Daphnia pulex: one gene and its partner. The protein of the gene in region 1 interacts with the protein of each later gene in a pairwise test. Links are inferred from orthologs where the notes say so. Each region holds a gene or a part of one and is shown on either strand. Other genes may lie near its edges.

Evidence for each region. The genes of interacting proteins can lie anywhere in the genome.
Region 2: the proteins of huntingtin-like (region 1) and abscission/NoCut checkpoint regulator-like interact in binary tests that used the Homo sapiens proteins (3 or more experiments, as listed by UniProt). The link is inferred for Daphnia pulex from reciprocal best matches to the Homo sapiens genes HTT and ZFYVE19.

The regions. Positions count from the first base shown.
Region 1 is NC_060020.1:1,046,282-1,051,669, forward strand, and holds the end of huntingtin-like, read left to right. Parts: coding exon 1-19; intron 20-82; coding exon 83-246; intron 247-308; coding exon 309-547; intron 548-615; coding exon 616-786; intron 787-852; coding exon 853-1,082; intron 1,083-1,144; coding exon 1,145-1,249; intron 1,250-1,304; coding exon 1,305-1,494; intron 1,495-1,574; coding exon 1,575-1,893; intron 1,894-1,954; coding exon 1,955-2,075; intron 2,076-2,135; coding exon 2,136-2,321; intron 2,322-2,387; coding exon 2,388-2,511; intron 2,512-2,572; coding exon 2,573-2,691; intron 2,692-2,761; coding exon 2,762-2,993; intron 2,994-3,060; coding exon 3,061-3,258; intron 3,259-3,321; coding exon 3,322-3,509; intron 3,510-3,578; coding exon 3,579-3,765; intron 3,766-3,828; coding exon 3,829-3,976; intron 3,977-4,039; coding exon 4,040-4,124; intron 4,125-4,199; coding exon 4,200-4,362; intron 4,363-4,436; coding exon 4,437-4,603; intron 4,604-4,687; and 5 more.
Region 2 is NC_060026.1:13,058,967-13,062,246, forward strand, and holds abscission/NoCut checkpoint regulator-like, read right to left. Parts: upstream 2,099-3,280; 5' UTR 2,063-2,098; coding exon 2,015-2,062; intron 1,953-2,014; coding exon 1,840-1,952; intron 1,771-1,839; coding exon 1,702-1,770; intron 1,642-1,701; coding exon 1,272-1,641; intron 1,205-1,271; coding exon 1,098-1,204; intron 1,040-1,097; coding exon 697-1,039; 3' UTR 511-696; downstream 1-510. Other genes in the region: uncharacterized protein LOC124204257, read right to left, coding at 1-25, 82-510. UniProt on the Homo sapiens protein: Key regulator of abscission step in cytokinesis: part of the cytokinesis checkpoint, a process required to delay abscission to prevent both premature resolution of intercellular chromosome bridges and accumulation of DNA damage.

The sequences.
Region 1 (5,388 bases):
CTGAACACATCTTGTCATGGTAATCCAACAAAGTTATCAACTTCAAACGAATTCATATTAAATTTTTTTTTTCCTCTCTCAGTTTGCTGGTTGACACTATTAAGTTAGCTCTAAGTCATTGGAAAAGTAAAGTGGTTGTTGATAATTGTGGCTCTACCTCCATATCGTGGAGAATTGATGGTTTCTCATTTTCCGTCCATTTAGTACTGGACTTGATTGCCTTGTGTCGTCGCTTATTAAACTCAAGTTAGTAAATCATGTTATCTACTGTTTCAAAATTTTTAAAAAGCTAATATTTTGTTTAATAGATGATTTCCCAGTGCTGCAGACCGCCATTCTTGCAGAATTGGCGCGTGACGAGTGTAAGTCTCCTCTATTTCAAGTAGCAAGGGAATTGATTCCCAATAATCCGATAGTTTTTGTGCGGATTTGCGCTTTGTTATTGTCGGAAAATTATCACATCCAATCCGAAAATATTGCTTCTTTTGGTGGACTTAACGGAAGTATTGCGCAAGAAGGACTTTTTCTATTGCTCTCCGGTGTGGTGGTACGCTCGAAAAACTTTCTTAAATTGTAAATTATCTTCCGACTCAGATGACTATTATCTACTTTTAGCCTAAAGAAGAAAAAAAAATCTTGAAGTTCGTTAGCTTGTATGCAGACCAAATCTTAAATCACTTCAATGAAACACCTGTGAAGAAGTTTTTTGGAAGCCTTATTCATAATGATGAGAAATACGTTCAACCACTTGTGAAGTGTGTGCTGGCGAAAGGCCAAGATTTATTGGTAAAATATCATACTGATCAGCGGATTAAGTGACTATTTATAAATTTTGTTTTTCTCACAAATTAGCAGATATCCTCGGCCATGGCTCTTTTGAATATAATAGAGAATGTCGAGCTTGTTGCGAATTCGGAAGCGATTCTTTTACATATCATTTCCAGTTTTCAGACAATTTCCAGTGGCATTGTGCACAGAAGAATGTGCAAACTTGTTCTAAACGCAAATTTCACTTCTTCTGAATCTAAGCTTCGTTGTTTGGAAAATGTACAAAAAATCGTTCTTCAGTCAGCTAATCAAAGGTTCTTGGCACTCGCCCACCTACTATCCTACGTTTTATGACATCTTCAATTTTCTTTTTTAGATGGTATTCCGAGATCACAGCAGTTCCAAGCGCTACCTTTGAAAATAGGTCTAGCATGTTGCGAGATATCGACAAGGCGTTTGTGCTGGATTTTGCGTTGAAAAGGTGGTTTAAAAATTATTTTCTGGTTTTATCTTGCTAAATCGTCTTCATAATTTAGGGAGTTAGAACCTTTAATGTGGAGAGAAATCGTCGCTCAGACAAACACAGACGACTTTCCGTTATTGTGCAGCAATCATAGTTTCCTTTTATATGTCCTTGGAAGTCGAATATTGAAATATGATGCTTTTTACCATGCCAAGGCATACCTTTTAAATATGATTACCGCCGAAGCCTTCGACAACTCTAAGGTACGCCGATTTCGGATGCTATTAATTTTTTGAACGGTTTTATCTTTTTATGAAATGAGCATCTCATTTTTTTCCATTAGATCCTGTCAATCGCTCATATTCTCAGTGCATTGTGCAAATCCATCTCACCATCGGAGGTCAACGATATTTTCACTGCATCCGAAATCACCATATTGGCTAAAACACCGCTTACCTTAATTGGTGCGATGGATTCGCTTTCCCATTCGTTAGTTCTTCTACAGGCGTCCTCTGAGATTGTTTCCATATTTGGGCGTGAACTTGCAATTGAATGGACAGACAAAGAGAATCTACCGGCTGTTTACAAGGCAATCCATTGTTTGGAGTCTCTTTGCATTCGGATAAGAAACAATGCAACTCTAGAACAACCTACTATTACCGGTAAATATCCTAAATTGTCTTCTTTAGTTGAAGATTTGATAACGAACGAATTTTCATTTAGGCCTGGAGCAAATGATTTGTCCTGATCCAAACTTTGTTTCGAGTGCGAAACAATTAAACCGAATACTTAGATTTATCGAACAAGAATCAAACATTCCAGGAATACTTCATCAAGACTTACTGTAAATTGTATTTCTGAATATTGATAAATCAATTCATTAAGATTTTTCTACTATTTTCAGGTCGACTGTTACTGTGTTTTGTCGAATGCCACTCTTCTATTCCTATATTTGCATTCCGCCATCCGCTTGGAGCAAAGGCTGGAATCCTGAGCTAAATTTGGATGTCGAACATATCACATTGGATCTACCAATAATCCCTTCACATTTTCTGCATGATGAAGTTGTTTTAAAAGAATTCGTTTTCCGGTAATTTTGGGACATTTTCTTATAAATGGATCTTGGATCATGCTGACTGCTTACTTATTCTTAAAGAATCGAGCAAATTAGCTGGATTACCAAAAAGAAATTTGAAGAAATTTGGATGACTTTTCTTGGCATTTTGAACTTACACAATGAGGATCAAGTGAGACCCGAAGAACAAGCAAGCGTCATCCAGGTATCATAACAGAGTTGGTAATTTTTTCTTACAATTTTTGAAAAACCATTTGAATTCAAAGGCTACATGTGAAGCCGTGCGAGCTCTTACAATGGTGCTTCAAAAAAATCTACCATTTAAGACGCCAAGATCTGTGAAAAATAATGAACTAGACAAGCCTCCTGAGTTCACGTCAACTGAGTAAAGCCAATGTGTTATTTAATCTCGCTTAATTATAGCTAATTGTCAATATTTTTAATGGATATTGTAGAAGGGGCAAGAAGCTGAAAGAACTCTGCAATTTGCTAGAAGAAGATTACACGATATCATCTTCCTGCAGTTATTGGCTCAATCGTCACTCCTTCAGACACATTCAATATAATATTGATCAAGGTTCACCATCCAAAAAGAAGGCTACTAGTCCCGAAGATGTTACAGATATAGATATCCAATCCTGTGTTCGCTTCTTAGTGGATCTCTACTCACAGTGGCTTCAGAATTCGGTAACCTTAATCTTCTATGTAGAAAATAATGATATTTTTCTTCAACATTTTCTTTTTTTTTCTCAAGAATACGCCGTACCCGCTGCTAGTGGACTTGTTTCAATCCCTAGTGCACATATCAAACTTCTTTGTCGATGTTCAACAGTTTGAGTGGATGCTGGATAACTCCTTAACCTTACACAGGCAACTTCTTCCTGATGATCCTGCGAGCTTAGAGTCCGCTTTAGTAGGGTGCATCTTGAAATCTGCTTCTTTTATACCCATGGTACAAAATTCATCTGAAATCTGAAGTTTTGTGATAATGTATTGTTATTTTTTCATGTCTCAGAATATGGAATACTGGGAATTAGTAAAAAAGCACTGTGAAACCGCATTGAATTCCCAGCATATTTCCACGCGAACTAGTGGATTAAATGGTCTTTTGTATCTACTTCAAAAGTTTGCCAGAAATCCAGATCTTGCTCGTACAGGCACTCTCGTCAACCTGGCTATGGATTATGTCGGTAAATGTCTCAGGTTGGTGTGATTCATCTCTTTACGTTTAAAGAAATTTGTCTGTTTATTTATTTGAAATATCATATTAAGCCCTGAACACAATGGTCCGACCTGGCATCAGTCCTTCGTTTGGTCAATAGCGTTCTATTGCGGCGAACATTTTGCAGTATTGCCCTATCAGAATTATGCTGTCGTCGATTTTGTTGTTCAGTGCGCTCTTAGTAGGCTTGTGCAAAACGAACAACAATCAAACGAGATCCCAAAAGAAATTTTACAGGTATTTCGTGAATTTATTGAAGATCTTATGTTGTAGGCTAATCTCGTTATTGATTCGTTATAGGGATTAGAACGGCTGAGCATTCTAGGCGTATTGACTCCGATTTGGCGAACGCAAGTTAAAAAAGAGGTTCTCAATTTAATACGCAATGTTGATTGTGATTGGATTCTACAGCCAGCACTACGAACTCTGCTGTCATTAGTCTATTCAGGTATAGGGTTTCATGCTGACTCTGTTTTTTCACTCCTCTCAAACCAATATTTACTTTTTCAAGATTTTGGTAGCCAATTGTATAAACCTGGAGCAGATCCTGAAACGATGCTCGCCGCTATGGAATGGGTGGGCGCCCTGTTCCAACGGTAAAGCTGAATAAGATGATTCTTGTTTACTTAGTTATTAATTTGTATCTGTTTCTTAATTTTCCATTTCCTCAGAATGAAGCGCGGAACAGATCTAGAGGCGGAGCTTTTGGGGCGAATTATGCCCGTCATAACCTGTGATATTTTCCCACCAGCAGACATCTTGAATCGTATTTTAAGTGAATTTATAACGGCAAGACCCACAGTTGCCTGTTGTTTAACTCCAACCATTTTCAAAGTAAGTCGTGGAACGTAGAATTTGTGTGGCATTGTCAACTGCCAAGATGTTTACTCTCTGGTTAATTCATTCAGGTTTTTGGAACGGCACGTACTCAAGGACAACAAAGTTTAGTCATGGAGTGGATTCTCTTAAGCCTCAGCAATTTTACCAGGACGCCTAGCGACACAGCGAATGATTCGATCTGGAATATTTTATGTTTTTTCACCGCAGCCTCCAACAACCCATGGTTGCAGTCAGTGTAAGTCATTCATCGTTCGTCTTAAATCTTTCACAGTTTCGGCATTCGAAAAATTTACTATGCTATTGCTGCTGATTCTTTTAGGTTTCCTCTCATAAACCGCCCGGTAAATCATAACGATTCTTTAGTGGAAGACGTATTTGTTGCATCTGCGCTGGATTTCAACTCTCAGGTATTTGACGAGCAAGAATAATTTAAATCTAATTTTAAATGATTCATCTATAGTTGCCTACTTTTTTTGTATATTTTCAGCTTGATGATCAACAGCGATCCACATTAGTTTCTATCTTTTATTCTGCGAGAGAAAAAAGTTCATTTTTTGCCGCTGTTGATGTTGCCCTAAAACGCTTGTGATTCCCATCGGGGATGCTAATATTGAGTCTCGTGTTTTCAAAACACGCATAAAATATGAACGAATGAATCACCCGATTAAATTGCATAGTTACTTAGATGTATCCTCCTGTCCTTAAAAGTTACGCTATATTCTAATATTCTATATTGTTGCAATGAAATTTTCAGTTCCTATATTCATCTAAATTTAATGTTTTCCCCTTTATAGATGGTATAAAAATTATCATTTGTGTTACTGCTCCTCCTATTCATTATCTTCATCCTTCGAGATGATATGCCATGCTGGCAAGTGGCAACCTGGCATCCCATTGGGTTGGGTTGCGAGGTTCTCTCAAGAAATAGGAAATAATCCAACAATATAATTAACAAATACAGAGAACAAGAAGGGAAAAGATATGAATTCTAAATACTCTTCTTCCTCTCCTCTTCCAATT
Region 2 (3,280 bases), on another chromosome or scaffold:
TGAACGGGAAGCGCCAATCTGCAATCTACAAATGAAACACAAATTAACATCAAATTCAATTAAATAAGTGTGAAATTTTACCTCGTTAGATGAACAACGTCCCCAACAAGAAGTGACGGTGACGACATCCCAGCAGGAGCGTCCCTCGGAATCCTCTTGATAGACTTTGAAAGTGTACGGACGCCGGAAGCAGGTCGGAGTAGCATCCATCTGCTCCTTGGACTGAGAGTCTGGCTGCTCGAACATGGCCGAATTGAGACGGAAGCTGTTGGCCATCAAAACGGCCAAGAGAAAGATCCTTTGGAATAGGTAAGTATTAGCCATGGTGCAACACCGCAAAACGGGAAACAGAACAATCGACAAGAACTTGCGGGATGCGTCTGGCCAAGGATCGACAAATCCTTCGAACTCGACTTTTTTCCCACCTACGACTTTCGGTCTGCGTACTACACCGGCGCGGTTGCGCATAGCTTTTTTTCTTTTAAACCACATAGAAGCGATCAGCTTCATCTTTTTATTGGTTGAGAAAAAAGCCTTTGATACATTCACTTGACAAATAGTTATCACAGAAAAATTACAAGAAAATAAAGTTAAGCATGGAGAAAGGCTTTTTTAAAAAAGGCAATCAAAATATACTACCAGAACCAGAAGGAAGGAATATTGAAAAAAAAAGACTAGGAATTAGTGAATGTGTGATTATTTTTTGGGAGCTTTGTAGTTCTCGGTACGGTGATGTTTAAGATCGGCGTCTTTGTGGATTTCTTTCCAGCAACGACGGCAGTAGAGATCCCCGTCGCAGTCAAAGCATCGCAAATGAGCATCTCCGTTGCAGAGCTCACACCAGGGCAATTCTTCTTGGCCAGCAGCTACTCCTTCATCGCATATTCCTTCGTCTTCCAATTCCAAACGGTCTTCATCCAAGACTCGATTGATAATCCTGGCCGCTTGTTTGTCTTCGTCTTCAGAGTCTTCGTCACTCGATTTGTCTTCCTTAGCTTCTGGTTTTTTAGTTCCCCTATCGAATCGGAGTTTGTTCAATCTAAACACAAAAATTGGATAAGTAAAAAATGATTGAGTTGTATTAGAATTCAAAAAACCTTTCTTGGATTTCTCTATCTTTCTTCAGGCCTTCCAAAGCCAATTGAGCATCAGCCTGTATTGCCTGGGCTTCATTTTGCAACAACATCTCAACATCATCTGTCTGCTAACATGAAAAATTGTTAGAAAGTCTCAAAATAAATCTGATAAATTTACAGAAATAATAGTTTTACCTCTTCTGATTGATTGGATGGAGTTGCAGAAGGAAGGTCTGATTGCCTGTCAATTGCAACTTCTTCTCTGATCTGGTTGATAAGATCTGTTGCATCATCGACATTGTTTGTTTTTGGTTTGACATAAATGGCTGCTGGTTTCCGGTAAACTTCAGGATCAATGCCCTTCAGTTTAGCTAAGCGTTCTTCAATCTCTGACTGGCTGGGGATGTCTCCCTTCATCTCCCGAATCTCACTCTTGAGCTTGGATAGACGATTTACAAGCTGTTGATCTTCAAAAGATAACCCTTTTTTCAGGTTGGTCATTCGGCTGTCTTCGGTGTAAACTACAATTGGACTTTTGTTGGGGTTCTCCAGTTTTTCCAACTTCCTAAGGAACAAGTTCTGGTCAATAAAGAAACATTAAATGATATTCTTATTTGAATCATACTGTTCCAAGACAACAGGAGGAATTTGAGTGACTTGATTTTGGTGGGGGGTTTCTACTTTTCCATTTTTCCTGTACAACAAACAAAAATATTAAAAGCTGTATGATGATTCAACAAAAGTCTTCGTTGTTTCATCATACTCTTGCGAAACAACGGGTGGTGGTACAGCTGACTGTTTGACAAAGCAGCTCTTACAGATTTTCTTGACAAGACATTTCGAGCAGAACGAAAATCCGCATTTTTCACAGCCATACTGAAATAATCAAAGTTTATTGATTAGAGAGTTAATCTAAGCACATACTTTTTTTCGCTTACTTCTTTTGTTAAAAACCCAAAGCTACGAGCACAGCCATGGCACGACATTGTTGTTGACAAACGTTTGATTAGTTTTTTAGTTATTTACCGTGACACCGATGCCAACTTTGACTATTATTCTCTCATGCAGTCATGCTAAAACGGGATATTTCAAAATAATTTAACAAAATGAAAATTCAACATTTTGTTTTAAAAATAAAAGAAAGGAGTTTGTTTGGAAATTCTGGATTCATTTTTATTCGTTGAATTTTTGTCTAGTAAATATGTGAGTTTTACCGTTAGATAAGTGCGTTAAGGTAACTAATTTATGATTGATAGACCCCTACAATCCGTTTCAGGTGAACTAGTGTGATTGATGAGTCAGTACATTTTTCAAGCAAACATTTCTTGTAGATTTTATTCAAGACTTGAACAATTATAGTAATAATATCCTATACTAAGAAAAATGTAATATCAATATCATGAAAACGACTTTATTTTTTCCAACAAGCAACAAAGCTTCAGTGATAAATATTCAATTTGTCATTCATTTTAGATTTTATAGATTTTAGATTTCGGTGCCGGGAAGGATCCCATATTAATGATTTTCAGCATGGCAAATTCATAGGCCCCTGCTTGTGATGGAACACAACAAGAGACCAGAGTTCCTATGCCTCCTAACGTAGTGTCCAAGGTTTGGCCTCCTGCAGCAAAACTAACAAAGAACAGATTGGAGCATTTATAATACCAAATAATCGATAACAGCAAATTTAGACATACCACGGAGCTCCGAGGGCATTACAACCTTACTAGCAAATGCCATAATGGTCCCAGTTAAGATCAATTACAAATCCAAAATGTTTCAATTTCCTTAAAACGAAATCTATAACAAAAGGGGAACAACGTGTAATATTGTAAAGAGCGGTACTTGTAGGGTTTCACGCCGCTGTGACAAAATTGGGTGTAGTTTGGCAGAGCTGCATCAACCAAAAACAAAATATCCAAACATTCAGACAGTCAAAGCCATTTATACAGGACTCGTTCAACGTCGCATAATCGACGTTGTATACGTATTCTGTACGTAATAATTGTTTATCATTTATGTTGATCAACTTCTCGCTAACTTTTTCCAGGTGTTCCTCAAGGATTCACCCGAAACGGTTCTTTGCCAATTAGCAATTTATTCAGAATTAATTAAAAATAAATATCACGAAAACACTGTATTTTCTCCCCAAAAGGCTTCATCAGTGTTACATTGACATTTATTTGATATCTTAAAGATATCTT